Linked DNA regions of Pelodiscus sinensis. The protein of the gene in region 1 purifies or fractionates together with the protein of each later gene. This does not show direct contact. Links are inferred from orthologs where the notes say so. Each region holds a gene or a part of one and is shown on either strand. Other genes may lie near its edges.

Region 1 (8,518 bases):
GATATAAGCAAAACCTGTCAATGCTCAAAGGGGTTGCTTATGCTGCTAAAAAGCTTAAGGGGAAAGTAGGGTGGCACAGCAGAAAAAAAGCGCAGGAGGCAGCATATTGTTGAGGCTGGGGATCAGGATCTGCAGGACTGGAGAAAGGGAAGGCAAAGAGCGATGCCTTTCAAAACACTGGGCTTCCCCAGCATCCACAGCTTGGAACCCCTTCAAGGAAGGTAGGTGCCTTTTAGCTATTCAGCAAGGGATGGGAGAAAAATACTGTAAGATTCTGGGGACCTAGCAAGCTGACACTTCTGGGATAGACCTGGGACTCAGGATGTCAGGACGGGAGACTGACACACAAGGAGGGTCAGTAGTGTTACAAATGGCGAGGTGGACACTGGAGGTGAGAAGGATTCACGGGAGGAGGCAGTGGGCAGATACAGGGGGTAGGAAGGGTCATGAGGGAGCAGACACATCTGGGGGGGCTCAGGAGACTGACACATCTAGGGAGGGATCAGGGTGTGCTGCGCAGGCTAGGGAGGCACACACAGTCAGTGGAGGGGATCACAGGTCTCACAAGGAGCCAACTTGGGGAGTACATGGGGAGACTCAGGAAGCAGACACACTGATGAGTACATGGTGAGGCAGGCAAGCTCAGGGTACCACAGGAAGGCAAGCAGGAGGTGGGGGGGACTGATGTTTCCATGGAGAGGGCTCATGGATGTTGGGAGAGTGAAGCACATCTAGATCCACAGGCATCTCTATGGGGGGCTCAGATATATCCAGAGAGAGGGAGCTCAAGAGGGCAGGCACATTGGATAAAGGGGGCCTCACGTGCTTCATGAGGCTAGAGGGCAGACACTATGGGGGAGAGCTCATGATGGCTCAGATTCCCAGGGGAGGGAGGACAACACACACTTTGGAGCAGGTCCATCCAGGGATGTAGACACCTCAACTGGGAGGAGGGCTTAGTCACCTCAGGGGAGGCCCATGGTGATAGGCACACCCAAAGGAGGAAGACACCTGGTAAGGGAGCTCACAGGGCAGGCACACTGGGGGCTAGAGGCATCACCGGGAGCTCAGACAGCTCCGGGGCAGGTAATGGGAGAAGGGTCAAACAGCTTTGGGAGTTAAGGGGGCACAAAAAGCTCCAGGTGCACTGGGAGGGGGTGTCAGACAGCTCTGAGAGGTATGGGGGGGCACTGCCAGCTCCAGGGAGGCACTGGGGGGGGCATCAGACAGCTCCAGGGAGCACTGGGGGGGTGCTGGGAGTGTCAGACAGCTCAGGGGCGCTGGGGAGGAGCACAGGGGGGCAGACAGCTCGGGGTGCTGGGGGGTCAGGCAGCTCAGGGGGGCACTGGAGGGGGGGATCAGACAGCTGGGGAAGTGTTGGGAGGTCAGACAGCTCAGGGGGCCCTCAGTGGATCACGCAGCTTGGGGGCAGGCCTCGGGGGCGCTGAGGGCTCGGAGCGCGGGGGGGCACTGGGGGCTCAGGGAGTTCGGGGGGCTCGGGGGGCAGGCTCCTGGGGGACTCGGGGGCGCTGCTGGCAGGGAGCTCGGGAGGTTCGGGGGGGCAGGCCCGGAGGGGGTCGGGGGGCAGGGGGCTGGGCGGGGCAGGGAGCTCAGGGGGGGCAGGCCCGGGGGGTACTCGGGGAGGCAGGCTCTCGGGGGTGCTGCCAGCAGGGAGCTCGGGGCGGGCTCGGGGGGGTCAAGCTCGAGGGGCCAGCCCGGGGGGGGGCTCTCGGGGGCGCTGCCGGCAGGGAGCTCGGGGGGGGGACCCGGGGGGGCTCTCGGGGGTTCGGGGGGGCAGGCCCGGGGGGGCTGGGGGCTGGGGGGGCTCTCGGGGGCGCTGCTGGCAGGGAGCTCAGGGGGGGCTCTCGGGGGTTCGGGGGGGCAGGCCCGGGGGGCTGGGGGGGCTCTCGGGGGCGCTGCCGGCAGGGAGCTCGGGGGGGCCCGATGGGGGCGGGACCGGGGGGCTCTCGGGAGGGGATCAGGCCCGGGAGGTTTGGGGGGGCTCTCGGGGGCGCTGCCGGCAGGGAGCTCGGGGGGGTTCGGGGGGGCAGGCCCGGAGGGGCCCGGGGGGGACTCTCGGGGGCGCTGCCGGCAGGGAGCTCGGGGCGGGCTCGGGGGGGGTCAAGCTCGAGGGGCCAGCCCGGGGGGGGGCTCTCGGGGGCGCTGCCGGCAGGGAGCTCGGGGGGGGGACCCGGGGGGGCTCTCGGGGGTTCGGGGGGGCAGGCCCGGGGGGGCTGGGGGCTGGGGGGGCTCTCGGGGGCGCTGCTGGCAGGGAGCTCAGGGGGGGCTCTCGGGGGTTCGGGGGGGCAGGCCCGGGGGGCTGGGGGGGCTCTCGGGGGCGCTGCCGGCAGGGAGCTCGGGGGGGCCCGATGGGGGCGGGACCGGGGGGCTCTCGGGAGGGGATCAGGCCCGGGGGGTTTGGGGGGGCTCTCGGGGGCGCTGCCGGCAGGGAGCTCGGGGGGGTTCGGGGGGGCAGGCCCGGAGGGGCCCGGGGGGGACTCTCGGGGGCGCTGCCGGCAGGGAGCTCGGGGGGGTTCGGGGGGGCAGGCCCGGGGGGGCCCGGGGGGGACTTTCGGGGGCGCTGCCGGCAGGGAGCTCGGGGGGGTTCGGGGGGGCGGGCCCGGGGGGGCTCTCGGGGGCGCTGCCGGCAGGGAGCTCGGGGGGGTTCGGGGGGGCAGGCCCGGGGGGGCCCGGGGGGCCCGGGGGGGCGCTGCCGGCAGGGAGCTCGGGGGGGTTCGGGGGGGCAGGCCCGGGGGGGGCCCGGGGGGGCTGGGGGGCGCTGCCGGCAGGGAGCTCGCGGGGGTTCGGGGGGGGTGGGGGGGGGCTCTCGGGGGCGCTGCCGGCAGGGAGCTCGGGGGGGGTTCGGCGGGGCCCGGGGGGGGGCTCTCGGGGGCGCTGCCGGCAGGGAGCTCGGGGGGGTTCGGGGGGGCAGGCCCGGGGGGGCCCGGGGGGGCGCTGCCGGCAGGAAGCTCGGGGGGGTTCGGGGGGGCAGGCCCGGGGGGGGCCCGGGGGGGCTGGGGGGCGCTGCCGGCAGGGAGCTCGCGGGGGTTCGGGGGGGGGTGGGGGGGGCTCTCGGGGGCGCTGCCGGCAGGGAGCTCGGGGGGGGTTCGGCGGGGCCCGGGGGGGGCTCTCGGGGGCGCTGCCGGCAGGGAGCTCGGGGGGGTTCGGGGGGGGCAGGCCCGGGGGGGCCCGGGGGGGCGCTGCCGGCAGGGAGCTCGGGGGGGTTCGGGGGGGCAGGCCCGGGGGGGGCCCGGGGGGGCTGGGGGGCGCTGCCGGCAGGGAGCTCGGGAGGTTCGGGGGGGCAGGCCCGGGGGGCCCGGGGGGGCTGGGGGGCGCTGCCGGCAGGGAGCCGGGCGCGCGGCGGCTCCGTCCCCAGGGACCCCGGGCTCGGCCGCGCTCTCACCTGCTCGGGGCCTCCCCGCGCGGCCCGAGGCGCGGCCGCTCCCCGGCTGCAGAGGCGCGAGGGGCGGCGGCGGGTCGCGCTGTCACCGGGCGCCGGGCTGAGGGCTCGGACGCCTCAGGCTCGCTCGCTCCAAAATGGCGGCGGGAGCGGCCTGCCCAGACCCGGGAAGGGGGCGGGCCTGCCGCGCGGAGTGGGCGGGGCCAATGGAGTGACAGGCACGTGAAGCCGCTGGGCAGCTCCAGGGTAGGAGCAGGGGGAAGGTTCCATGGGCATGGGGAGGGGAGATGGGACGGTTCCATGGGGTGGGGGAAGGTTCCATGGATATGGGGAGGGGAGATGGGAAGGTCCCATGGGCGGGAGGGGGAAGGTTCCATGGGCATGGGGAGGGGAGATGGGAAGGTCCCATGGGCGGGAGGGGGAAGGTTCCATGGACATGGGGAGGGGAGCTGGGAAGGTCCCATGGGCGGGAGGGGGAAGGTTCCATGGGCATGGGGAAGGGAGATGGGAAGGTCCCATGGGAGGGGAGATGGGAAGGTCCCATGGGCATGGGGAGGGGAGATGGGAAGGTCCCATGGGCGGGAGGGGGAAGGTTCCATGGGCATGGGGAGGGGAGATGGGAAGGTCCCATGGGCGGGAGGGGGAAGGTTCCATGGACATGGGGAGGGGAGATGGGAAGGTCCCATGGGCGGGAGGGGGAAGGTTCCATGGGCATGGGGAAGGGAGATGGGAAGGTCCCATGGGCGGGAGGGGGAAGGTTCCATGGGCATGGGGAGGGGAGATGGGAAGGTCCCATGGGCATGGGGAGGGGAGATGGGAAGGTCCCATGGGCGGGAGGGGGAAGGTTCCATGGGCATGGGGAAGGGAGATGGGAAGGTTCCATGAGGAGGATGGGAAGGTTCCGTGGCGGGTGGGAATGGCATTTGGCGTGGGGGAGAATGGCTACTTATACTATGGGTACTTATGTTCTTAAGTTTGGTGAAAGACCTGGTATAAATATTGATTGACTCCCTGTATCCATGTGCTTGTTAACACCCTTAAAGAATCCTAATAGATTAGTGAGGCATGATTTCCCTTAGAAAAGCCACATTGGCTCTTTCCCCACAAAACACATTATTGATTGGTCTGATCATTTTGTTTTTACCATAGTTTCTACCAGTTGCTGGGTACTGACCAGCGCCCCCTCAGCCCCCAAAAAAACCATGATTTCTCTTCTACCATCCTTAGGGAGGAGGGCTGGGACAACCCTCACCTCTACCCCAGGCCTCACTCCTGCTCCGCTCTTTCCCGCCCTGATCCACCCCCATCCCGCCTGTAATTGCCAGGATGTTCTCTGAAGCTCTTTTTAAAAATCAGTTCAACTGCCCTCTACATGCCAGCCTGGTACAAGAAAATGATTACTTGGAATTTGAAAAATGTCACATTGGACCATTTCCCATAGTCTCTCAGTGTGTCTTGTCTTCCCTTTGCCTGTCTTATTTAGGCCTTCATCCTGCAAATACTTTCAGTCTTAATGTTCAGCATTTGTGTTATTTCATGGAAGTCTAAAGGGCTACTCACATAAATAAAGTTACTCACATGCAAGTCTTTGCAGGTTTGGAGATGATGGCCAAATCTTCAGGTAGGGTTGCCAGATGGTTTAACAAAAAATACCGAACATCTCCCCCCTCCCCGCAAAAAAACAAAACAAAACACCAGGAAAAATTCCGTTGAGAAAAAAAAGGGGGAAACCAAAGTTGTTAAGAAAAAAAAAAGGGGCACCACGACTTTAAATGGCCCTGTGCTCCTAACTCCCCGGCCCCCACCAGACACTGCAGGGGAAAATTGTCCCCGCCGGGCTTCTGTCCGAGGGAAACAGGAAATACTGGACAGTTCACATGTCCAGTATTTTCTGGTTTTTTAACCGGACGGGGGACCCAAATAACGGACAGTCTGGGTGAAAACCGGACACCTGGCAACCCTGTCTTCAGGAGAAAAGATTTTTTCCAGTAACACTAAACCGGCATACACCCCTAATGTAGGCACAGTTTATACAGGCAAAAAAGTGTTTTTGGTAGTATAATGTATACAGTATAAGGGTGGTTTTACTAGTAGAACTCTATCCACACTAGGACTTTTGCAAATATAGGCTTATTACACACACACACACACACACACACACACACACACAATTCCTAATTGGTGTTACTACACCTGCAAATGTTTCCAGTAGACCTGGAGTTAGTCTGTAAGCTCTTTAAGGCAGGGCCTCTTCGATGACTTTTAAACAGGATACTGGGAATCATTAAGAAGGGGATAGAGAATAAGACAGTGAATATTTTATTGCCTCTCTTTTAATCTATGGAACACTCACGTCTTGAATACCGCGTACCGATGTGGTCGCCTCCTCTCAAAAAAGATACATCGGCATTGGAAAAAGTTCAGAAAAGGGCAACATAAAAATATTAGGGGTATGGAATGACTGCCATCTGAGGAGAGATTAGTGAGAGCTTTGGTGAGGTCAGCCCCCAAATACGCTTAAGTTCTGCAGGACCTTAAGTGCAAAAATATGGTCAGAATTTGGGAACTTCATAGGAATAAAACTCTGGACCCGTGGTTCTTAGATACCTCAGGAAAACTGAACTCTGGCAGGCCTCGTCCTCTAGTCTAGAGTTTGGGAGCTTACTTACCTTCTCTGCAGACCAGAAGTTCTCTGCATCTCTCTGCCACAGAATTCCTAAATGTCACAGGCCCAGAACACTTGGGAAGCCCAAGTAAAAGCTCTACAACAACCAAGTGAAATACTCCGGGGCCAAGCCTCAGATCATCAGAACCCGTCAAAAAGTTAAGAAATATCAATGTTAAGATTGAATGCCAAAGCCTGCCTCGGTTACCATGTGTATGCTTTCTGGTGCAGTCTTTAACCATGAGGTCACAAGTTTTCCCAGACGATACAATATTACAATACAACCTTTAATTTGTTGAGTCTAGGATCTCAGATACACATGCATCTCAGATTGCAGAAAAATTGTATTATGGCACTGAATTTCTCCCTGGACAACTAAATAGGCTAAGTTACCGAGGAGACAAATGAAGCAAAAATTTAAAAGGAATTTAAGATCATTTAAATCTGTTTATTTGTAGAGAAAGGGCTTGAGAAGTCCGATTAAGAATATTAAAGTGGAGTCCATGTGAACCAAAAAGACCAGCGAATTCAGCCAAATAGTTTTCCCCTTCTATAAAATGCCTTCAAGGAATCAAGGAAATTCGTACAGCTGTCACCACCACACATACATTTTATCTGGGCAAGTGTTTGCCAAAAAGATTAAGTAAGAATGGTAGTGATAGGTCTAGGAACCTCTGAGAAGCAAACAATAGGCAGAAGACATACTAAAGAAATGTGCACTGTCATTTCAAAGAGGAACAATAATGGGCACAAGGCCAGCACAGATCCTGGGTGAGCTCCAGATGTCTCCCTTGACAATTACATCTTCCAAGACTCAGATTACAGGGCAGACGAACAGTCAAGCTCAGATTTAAAGCTTAACAATCAGTATCTTGGACAGACACATAGGAGGGAAAGGACACCAAATATAGTTTGTATTGGTAAAGGGATTTCTCTCTATCTGGACAAATACAATAGTCTGTTAGAATCATAGAATCATAGAATAAAAGGACTGGAAGGGACCTCGAGAGGTCATCGAGTCCAGCCCCCCGCCCTCAAGGCAGGACCAAGCTCTGTCTACACCATCCCTGACAGATGTCTATCTAACCTGTCCTTAAATATCTCCAGAGAGGGAGATTCCACCACCTCCCTTGGCAATTTATTCCAATATTTGACCACCCTGACAGTTAGGAATTTTTTTCTAATGTCCAATCTAAACCTCCCCTGCTGCACTTTAAGCCCATTACTCCTTGTCCTGTCCTCAGAAACCAAGAGGAACAAATTTTCGCCTTCCTCCTTGTGACACCCTTTTAGATATTTGAAAACCGCTATCATGTCCCCCCTTAATCTTCTTTTTTCCAAACTAAACAAGCCCAGTTCATGAAGCCTGGCTTCATAGGTCATGTTCTCTAAACCTTTAATCATTCTTGTCGCTCTTCTCTGTACCCTTTCCAATTTCTCCACATCTTTCTTGAAATGTGGCGCCCAGAACTGGACACAGTACTCCAGCTGAGGCCTAACTAGTGCAGAGTAGAGCGGCAGAATGACTTCACGAGTTTTGCTTACAACACACCTGTTGATACAACCTAGAATCATATTTGCTTTTTTTGCAACAGCATCACACTGTTGACTCATATTCAACTTGTGGTCCACTATGACCCCTAGATCCCTTTCCGCCATGCTCCTTCCTAGACAGTCGCTTCCCATCTTGTATGTATGGAACTGATTGTTCCTTCCTAAGTGGAGCACTTTGCATTTCTCTTTATTAAACCTCATCCTGTTTACCTCTGACCATTTCTCTAACCTGCTAAGGTCATTTTGAATTATGTCCCTATCCTCCAAAGAAGTCGCAACCCCACCCAGTTTGGTATCATCTGCAAACTTAATAAGCGTACTCTCTATCCCAATATCTACATCTGTTAAATGATTTTAATGCAGTTTCTAGTCACTGGGCCAGATTCTGCTCCATATTACAGTGGTGTAAATCTGGAGTGACTCCACCGGCTCTACATTTACATTTTTAGCTTCTCATGCAGGGCAATGTCAGTTTATTAACATCCAATCAATTCTTTTACTTCTAGCCTTTCTACCATCTATTTGGGGGTGGCTCTTTGAGTCCCTTTCCATTCTGTCTAGAAGCAGCTCCTCAGAAATGCCAATGCTCAGCAAACCCTTTTGTATAGCATCCGTGCATCTAGTTTTAGGTTCTCCGCCCCTGCTCTTGGACTCCTAAGTCCTGGTCTACGCTACACGGTTTTAGCGACAAAAGTCAGTTCTTGTCCACAACACACAGAAAATGCAACCATGCTAGGCCAACATCAAGGAGCTGCGGCTGGCCTACCAGAAGGCAAGGGAGGCTAGCTCTCACTCTGGTGTGGCGCCAAAGAGTTTAAGGAACTGCACACCACCCTTGGTGGGAACCTCACCTCCACTGCCAAGAGCCCCACAGATACTTCAGGGGAACTGGAGGCCGT
Region 2 (7,737 bases), on another chromosome or scaffold:
TGGGCTTTCTTGAGGATCCTAGAAATCATCCTTAAAGCACGACTGGGTCAAACCACTTATCCATGTTTCATCTTTCTTTGACTATAATCATAATAAAATACACTTACCGTTGAACTCTGGTTTTGCATTCATGAATCTCAAAGTGCTTTACAAACTAATATTGACGTCTCAGAGACCTCATGGGAGGGTTAAAACTATGATGCTCATTTCATCGATGGAAGAACTGGGGCAGCAAAAAGGTAAGTAACCTGCCTATGCCTGTGTTGCAGCCATGAACAGAACCCAGGAGTCCTGACTCCTAGATCGATGGGCTAAGCCAGTGCTGGTCAAGATGCATCCCGGGGACCGGAGCCAGCCCACCTAACACTTTGATCCAGCCTGCAGACTGCATCTGGCCAGATTCTATTTATATCCTGCTGCCCGGGCCACTGAATTTCCAGGCAGTGGCTCAGGCAGCAGGATTGTATTTAAAGGGCTCACGACTGCCAGTCGTGGTGCTTCCCCAGCAGGGGCTGGAGCTGTGAGCCCTTTAAATCGCCACAGCAACCCAGCACAGGGCAGCCAGCTCTTTAATTCAAAGCTTCCAGCCCCAGACAACTCTGGAGGGAGGCTAGCCCCATGCTCTGCCCCTTCCACTCCAGGCCCTGCCGGCCCATGACCACCTACCAAAATTCATTAAGTGGCCCCCTTGCAAAAATTATTGCCCACCTCTGGGCTAAGCAATATATCCTGGGACTGATTAGCAGTTAGTGTCTAAACAGTTCCAGATGTCCTTCTATTTTCATTCTCACCACCATTCCCTTTTGACCTTGGAATCTATGAATCATCTAATTCCATCTTCTTTTGGGGAAGCCAGTTACCGAATGTTGCTCAAACCCCAGCTATCAGAGAATTGGACTAGGAATCCCCTCCTTTTGCTTCCTTTGTGGGCAAAGAGAGAAGAAAAAGAGAGGCTACACTACAAATGACTGGAGTAGTCCTCCAGATGCACCAGGCTGCTGATCTTGTGATGCCAGGGAAGGTTTAGTCCGACTGCTTCCTCCTTCGGGGAAATATGTCACTGGTGAAAATGTCAACAGCTGCTCTTCATGGCTTTTCAGTGCTATGATTTCACCTTGATTTCACTGGTAGGTAACACTTGGCTAATGGTCCAAAACCATGATAAAAATAGCCCAGCTACAGTATCAACAGTACAAACAGCTTCCCGGCTCCTCCTCTGAGCTCAGTTCAACCGGAGATCAAAAGTAGAGCCCCAAGTGGTGCTGCCCCACCAGCCCCCCAGACTATGTCCCCACCACGCTCCATGGCAGTCAATGTAAATATGTCTGTGGATGTTGTTTCAAAACACAGAGGCAGCTATTCAAAGCGGCGCCCTCAAATAGCGACAGAGAGGGCAATTAGAAACGCCTTGCCACAGCAGAAAATGGTTATTCAGCTCCTCTGGTTGCACCGATCACTTGTTTCTTTAAACAGGACTTTTTCTTTGAGGCGCTCCCAAAACTTGCCCCAACAAGCACCAGGGTGGCAGCTTTTGGAAGCTCTCCTGAACTGTAGCTGCCTAGTAGAGACTACAGGTCCCTACATCTACAAGGCCCGCTGAAATGTCCCAGGATCAATTGGTAAAGATTTGTGAGCCACTTTTGGGGCCTTTTGTCTGGCAGGTTTCACTTGCCTATGAGGTCGCTATTAGAGTCATTCAGCAATGGTTATCTGGGGTCCACAGAGCACCACTTTGTTGTTATGATTTGTTACTTGTTAAGCAAAGACAATATGCTAGGTGCTCTGGTATAGGGATGTGAAGAATAGTTGACTAGTCCTTCCCCATCCTCCTTGCTGCCTCTATCTAGCCAAACCTGGCAGCCTTGGGACAAAGGAAGGATAAGGGGGGCCCAAAATGTAGGGAGGTCAGAGGCAGCAAAGAAGAGGGGGTACTTCAAAGCAGCAGCACCTCTTGAAGCCTGGTGCCAGGCTCCACACAGCACTGCCCCTTTGAAACACCACATGCAGCCTGGGGCCAGCTGCAGTGTCCCCAGGCTGCATGCAGAGTTTCAAAGGGGCAGCACCACATGGAACCCAGGATCAACTGGGGACTCCCCTGACGATCCTGGGCTCTGTGCAGCGCTGCCATGTTAAAACACCATGGGGAGCCCAGTGTCAGGCAGCACTGCATGGAGCCCAGGATCAAGCCCAGCCGACCCCAGGCTCCACATGGCACCTTTGCCTTTGAAGTGTAGCAACAACCCTAGGGCATCGATTAGTCAATATTTAACATCCTTATCCTTACTCTGGTATCAAAACAATCCTTGGTCTGAAGAACCTACAACCTACAATATAACATCCCAATCCTGAAAACATCTACTACCAAGCGCAATGCGTACTTCCATAAATAGATCCTTTGAATTCATAGATGGAAGCATTTACACCTGGGAGTGAGTTTTAAAGGATCAGGACCTAAAAGACTGGCACAGAAATGAGAACTGTTTAATAGTTAATTTCTTGTGTACATGGTGAAACCAGGAGATTTTAGGAAGGCACCTGAAGAAAGAGATCTGAATTCTGCACTACACAGTCATGACGGTCTCTTCTGGCCTTGACGTCTATGAGAGTCACTTCACTGGGCACCCCTCTGTTTCAGCTTCCTAAAATCAGAGAGTCAAGTCCATGTAAAACTCGGACCTCCTGATTTCCAGATGAGAGGGATAGCCACAAAGGACCAAACTTTCCACTCTGAGGTCCGGTCTCTACTCGACAATATGATTAGTATAGCTACATTTGTTAGGAGCGTAAAAAAAATCATACCCCAACCGATAGGCCTGGATTGGCAAAAGATCTAGTGTAGACACAGTTTTAGCGGCAACAAAAATATTTGGCAAGTCTTAACGATTCCATTGGGCGAACAGAATGAAAAACCGTTTTGCTGGAATCGCTGTCTCCACTAGGGGGATTACCATTGTGTCCGTACCAGCAAACCCTTTGTAAACAAGGCCTGAGAGGCAGCTTGGTCTGTGCTAGGAGTGTTCTCTGGAAAACGTGCACTTGTGCGGCTGCTTAGGAGAAATTCCAATGTTACCCAGCTGATTAGTAGAGCGCCCATAGCTAGACTTTTTGTTGCTACTGGTGGTGCACATCCCTCAGTGCACATCAAAAAATTATTCCACACAGGGTGGGAAAAAATCCACACATGGATGGAAAAGATTAGAGGTAATCTTTTATTGTGAATACTAGATACTTTTTATTGTGAATACTAGATACAAGTCAGTGGATTCTCAGATAGAAGTGCAAAGAATGAATGTAATAATTTGATCAGCTTTTAATTCTTATTTATTACAGGGGCTACCAACCCATCCCACTTGGAAGCCATCAGGAAATGGTGGTAGATCCCTGTGGTTATAGCAATTGACCAGACGTGTAGGTAGGGCTGTTCCTCACCTCTTGCCACAGGCTTTGGGGGGACACTGAGGCACCTAACTTGCCCAAGTTTCTCTATTGTTTTGCTCACCCGTCTCAGCTGAGACCCAACCATGTGGGGTGGATGGACTGGGTTTGAGGGAAGCTCACAGGCCCACGTGCAAAATGGACTTACCTGGATTGCCCCTGTTGAGGCGATGGCAAAGTTCAGGAGAAGTGATGCACCCCAGGGCAAAAAGGGGGTGCCAGGTTGTCCAGGGGGTCCAGGCTGCAGGGTCCAGGCACTGCTGGCAGGGGTGGCCCTAAGTGACCCTCCTCTGTCAGAGAGGATCTCTTTGAGGCCCTGGCACCTAGCCCAGCACCTCTTGGGCCCCAGATCCACTGCAGAGCTCCATGGGTCCCAGGTCACCCCCCCTGGAGACTCACACATCTCGCCCCCCCCCCCCCGGGATCCATGGGGCCTGGCCCCCCCTCTCGGGGATCCATGGGAGCCGGCCCCCCCTCAGGGATCCATGGGGCCTGCCCCCCCCCCTCCGGGATCCATGGGGCATGGCCCCCCCCTCCGGGATCCATGGGAGCCGGCCCCCCCCTCTCAGGGATCCATGGGAGCCGGCCCCCCCCTCTCAGGGATCCATGGGGCCCGCCCCCCCCTTCTCGGGGATCCATGGGGCCGGCCCCCCCCCCGGGGATCCATGGGGCCTGGCCCCCCCCTCTCGGGGATCCATGGGACCTGCCCCCCCCCCCCGGCTCCAGGGCCCCGCCCCGCGCGGGCGGGCTGGCCGCGGGCCGGCAGGGGTCGCTGCGCTCGGGCCCGGTGGGCGGGCTCAGTCCCTCCCCGCCCCGCAGCCGGAGCCGCCGCGGCCGGAGCCTGATGCCGGGAGCTCGGCGCTGAGGCCCGGAGATGGGGATCCTCAGCATCGCGGACCAGGTACCCCCCCCCCGGCCGCGCGGCCTGGCCCCCCCCCCCCCCCGCCGGGCGCCGCCCCAAGGCCCGGCCCCGCCGCGCGCTGCCTCCTTCCCGCCCTCGGGCCCGGCCCCCCCGCCCGGCCCCCGGGCCCCCCCGCCAGTCCCTGGGTCTCCCCGCCCCCCTGCAACCCCCGCTCCCCATCAGGTCTCCCCGGGCCCCCCCCGCCCTCCGGTCTCGTCGCCTTCCTGCCCCCCCCCGCCGGGTCCCCCCACCCGGCCTCCGTGCCCACCCCGCTCCGCCCCCCTGCAACCCTCGCCCCCCATCGGGTCCCCCCGCCCCCCCGCCTGACCCCCGGGCCCCCTCGCCCCCCCTCGCCTGACCCCCGGGCCCCCTCGCCCCCCGGTTCCCCCGCCTCCCCCGCCGGGTCCCCCCGCCTGACCCCCGGGTCTCCCCGCCCGGCCCCCGGCCTCCGTGCCCCCCCCCGCTCCACCCCCCGGGTCCCCTCGCCCGCCCCCCGCCGGTCCCTGGGTCCCCCCGGCCTCCCTGCCCCCCCGCCTGACCCCCGGGTCTTCCCGCCCCCCCCCCCCGCCTGCCCTCTCTTCCTGATCCCCGGGTCCCTCTGGCCTCTCTGCCCCCCCGCCCCCCCAGTCTCTGCCCCCCTCGGCTTCTCTGCCCCTCCCCGTCTGACCCCCGGGTCCCCACCCACCCCCCGGCCTCTCTGCTCCCGCCATCCACTCCTCGCCCCTCCTCCCGCCTGCCCCCAGGACCCCCCTCTGCCCCGCTTCCGTCCCTCCCCCATCTTTTGCTCCTTGCCGACCTGCTGCCCCATTTCCCCGCACCAGCTCCGCCCCGCTGGGCCTGCCTGCATCTCCCCCCCCCATCGGTGTCTCCCCATCTTCTCCCTGCCACCTGGCCCTCCTGTGCCCATCTCCTTCCTGACCCCGTCTCCACCAGCCCCCCCACATCCAACCTTTTTAACCCGCAACCTCCCCAAAAAATGTCCTGGACAGGATTTGAGTCTCCCCGCCTTTATTCCTGCCTGCTCCCTCTGCACCCCACTCTCCCCTTCTTTCAGCCTCCCTCTGGAGAGAGGGGGGGTTGATTTGGCATCATCCACAGTGGGCACCCCACTTTCACAAGTTAAAGGGCAATTCATCTCACCCCCCACACACTTGTGTTATTTGGGGAGTGGGGTAGCATGCCCTGCCGTTTCCCTGCGTGCTGGCAGGCATTTTGCATGTCCCCTGTTGTCTGGGGTGGGGATGTGTGATTCAGCATCCCTACAAACACGGGTCTTGAGCCCCATTTTCCTTGGGGGCAGATGTGAGGCCTGTTTGCACACCACTTGGCTTGTGGGACAACACCCAGCTCAGCAGGGCTGCCTGATCTCAGTAGGTACCCCCACTCCCCAAAAGGGGTGTGTGTGTGTGTGAGGAAGAGCGACTGTTGCGGCTTCCATCACCACGCACCATTTCCTTTAGAAATAGGGATGTTAAAATGGTTAACCGGTTAAATGCTAGCGCTTCACCGGTGAACCATTTTAACTTGGAGTCTGGCCCTGCAGCGGCTATGGGGCCCAGCCGGCTGGTCTCTCTGCTATGGGGGCTGCTTTAGCCACCCCTGGGGGTCACCAGCAAGGGTGGATCAGCTGGTTAACATGTAAGCATATCAGAAAGCCTCATGCTTACCAGTTCACTGTGTCACAGCCCTTCTTAAAAAGGTCAGGTTTCAACCATCTCTGCTTTTGCAAGAAGCGGGACTTTTATTTCCCTCTCCCTGCAGTGTATATACTTCATCTTCCTAAGGCAGGATATGTTGATGCATCATTGTTCTTTGCTTCTCTCCTGGCTTGTCCTCCAATCCCCCTCCCCTGGCCTACCAACATCTAATCTTTACCCCCTGATTTGATGTGACAGGTTTGTTTTTGAGAGCCAGGCTTCTGACTCTTTGAAGCCAAATATTTACCCCTCCCTTGGTCCCTTGCTGTTGCAATCTCACTGATAGGCCAGGTTTTTAAAGCCTCACGTGTCAGGGAGAGAAGGAAAAGGGGAGCTGACCTAAGATTTAAATAGAATTTTTTTTTTTGGGTAACCAAAACATGCAGCTTCCCTTGTGAATGGTAGGTGGGTGTGTCCGTCCCAGCATTGCCGGCAAGCGCCACTGAGGTCTGTGCAGGGCATAATTATCGGCTGTGCATCCTTTTTTGTTTTTGAAATGCCTCATGCTGGTACTAAGTCCGCTGCATTCCACGCAAATGACTCGCTCCTTCTCTCTGATCCCCCCCACCTGTAGCTGCTTTCATGCCTGCGTTTGGACGGAGGGGATGAGCGGGAAGCTGGGGAGCAGGGGCGGGAAGTCTGCCCTGGAAATGCAAGTTCCAGGTTCCGGCTACTGAGCAGATGCCGTGGGGGCTTGTGGTCTCCAGTGCTTGGTGCAGAGAGCTGACTTACTGGGCTGCCTTGAGCCGAGGGTGTTTGTTTTCAGTCCTGGCCCCAGCGCACTTGTTTCTGTACAGACGGAAAGGCCCAGGATAAACAATGGCGGGTAGTCTGGGCCTGGCAGAGAGGTGCAGGGTAGCTGCCAAAGCGTGGGGCTGCCTCTGCTGATGCAGGTGTGTTATGCCTGTGCCGTCAGAACCAAAGATGCCAGTTGGGATTCTGACTTCCCCTGAAGTCCATTGTCCAGGGTACAGCTCCTGTTAACTGTGTGGTCTCAGCCTCCAGGAGCAGAGAGGTGGGGACGGAGGGTGATGCTAGGGACAGACCTGGAGTCCGAGTGCATAAATAACTGTTTGTCCTTCAAGATCCATTTTAGGCCACCAGGAAGTTCAGTGTCGGCATTTTCTGGCTAAAGCCAAGTCTTACGGCAACTAAAGCTAGAACCAGGAGTAGTGTTGTGGGAGGGGAAAAGGGTTTGGCGGTTACTGAGCATGGGATTTGAGAGGCCCACTCTAGGCCGTGTTCACTCGGCTCCCTACATGGGCTCTGAAGAGAGACTCCTTGGGTTCAGGGCCTGCCTTTCTGCCTGCAGGAGGCTTTTCATAACAATCTAGCTGTCTTGAGTATTTGCTTGACTGATGCTATATCCCATTGGGAGTGAGCAGCTCAGGGAATTTGGAGGAGGGATGCAGCATCTTTCCCCTCTACGGCACTCGTTCCAAATCAGGCTGGGTAAGAAACGTAGGAACTGCCAGACTGGATCAGACCTGTCATCCATCTAGCCCGGGGTGGCCAACCCCTTAAAGTGCGGCTCGTGAAGCCTCCCCCACAGCTTGCAAAACCATCCCTGCGCCCCTAGAAATGGTCCCCGCCCCCCAACTCCCTGTGCTCTCCGGGGCAGGGGAGCTGTCCAGTGCAATGATTCAAGATGTTATCGCCAAGATGGCAGCGGCAGACAGGAGCCTGATGTGGCCAAAAGGCCTT

Evidence for each region. The genes of interacting proteins can lie anywhere in the genome.
Region 2: the proteins of PPP6R2 (region 1) and ANKRD52 purify together in Homo sapiens (affinity purification with mass spectrometry; 3 studies listed by BioGRID and IntAct, counting the BioPlex papers as one, with this or other methods). This does not show direct contact. The link is inferred for Pelodiscus sinensis from reciprocal best matches to the Homo sapiens genes PPP6R2 and ANKRD52.

Annotation. Positions count from the first base shown.
Region 1 is NC_134711.1:648,857-657,374, reverse strand, and holds the start of PPP6R2 (serine/threonine-protein phosphatase 6 regulatory subunit 2), read right to left. Parts: upstream 3,561-8,518; 5' UTR 3,404-3,560; intron 1-3,403. UniProt on the Homo sapiens protein: Regulatory subunit of protein phosphatase 6 (PP6). May function as a scaffolding PP6 subunit. Involved in the PP6-mediated dephosphorylation of NFKBIE opposing its degradation in response to TNF-alpha.
Region 2 is NC_134729.1:3,913,010-3,920,746, forward strand, and holds the start of ANKRD52 (serine/threonine-protein phosphatase 6 regulatory ankyrin repeat subunit C), read left to right. Parts: upstream 1-4,185; 5' UTR 4,186-4,309; coding exon 4,310-4,336; intron 4,337-7,737. UniProt on the Homo sapiens protein: Putative regulatory subunit of protein phosphatase 6 (PP6) that may be involved in the recognition of phosphoprotein substrates.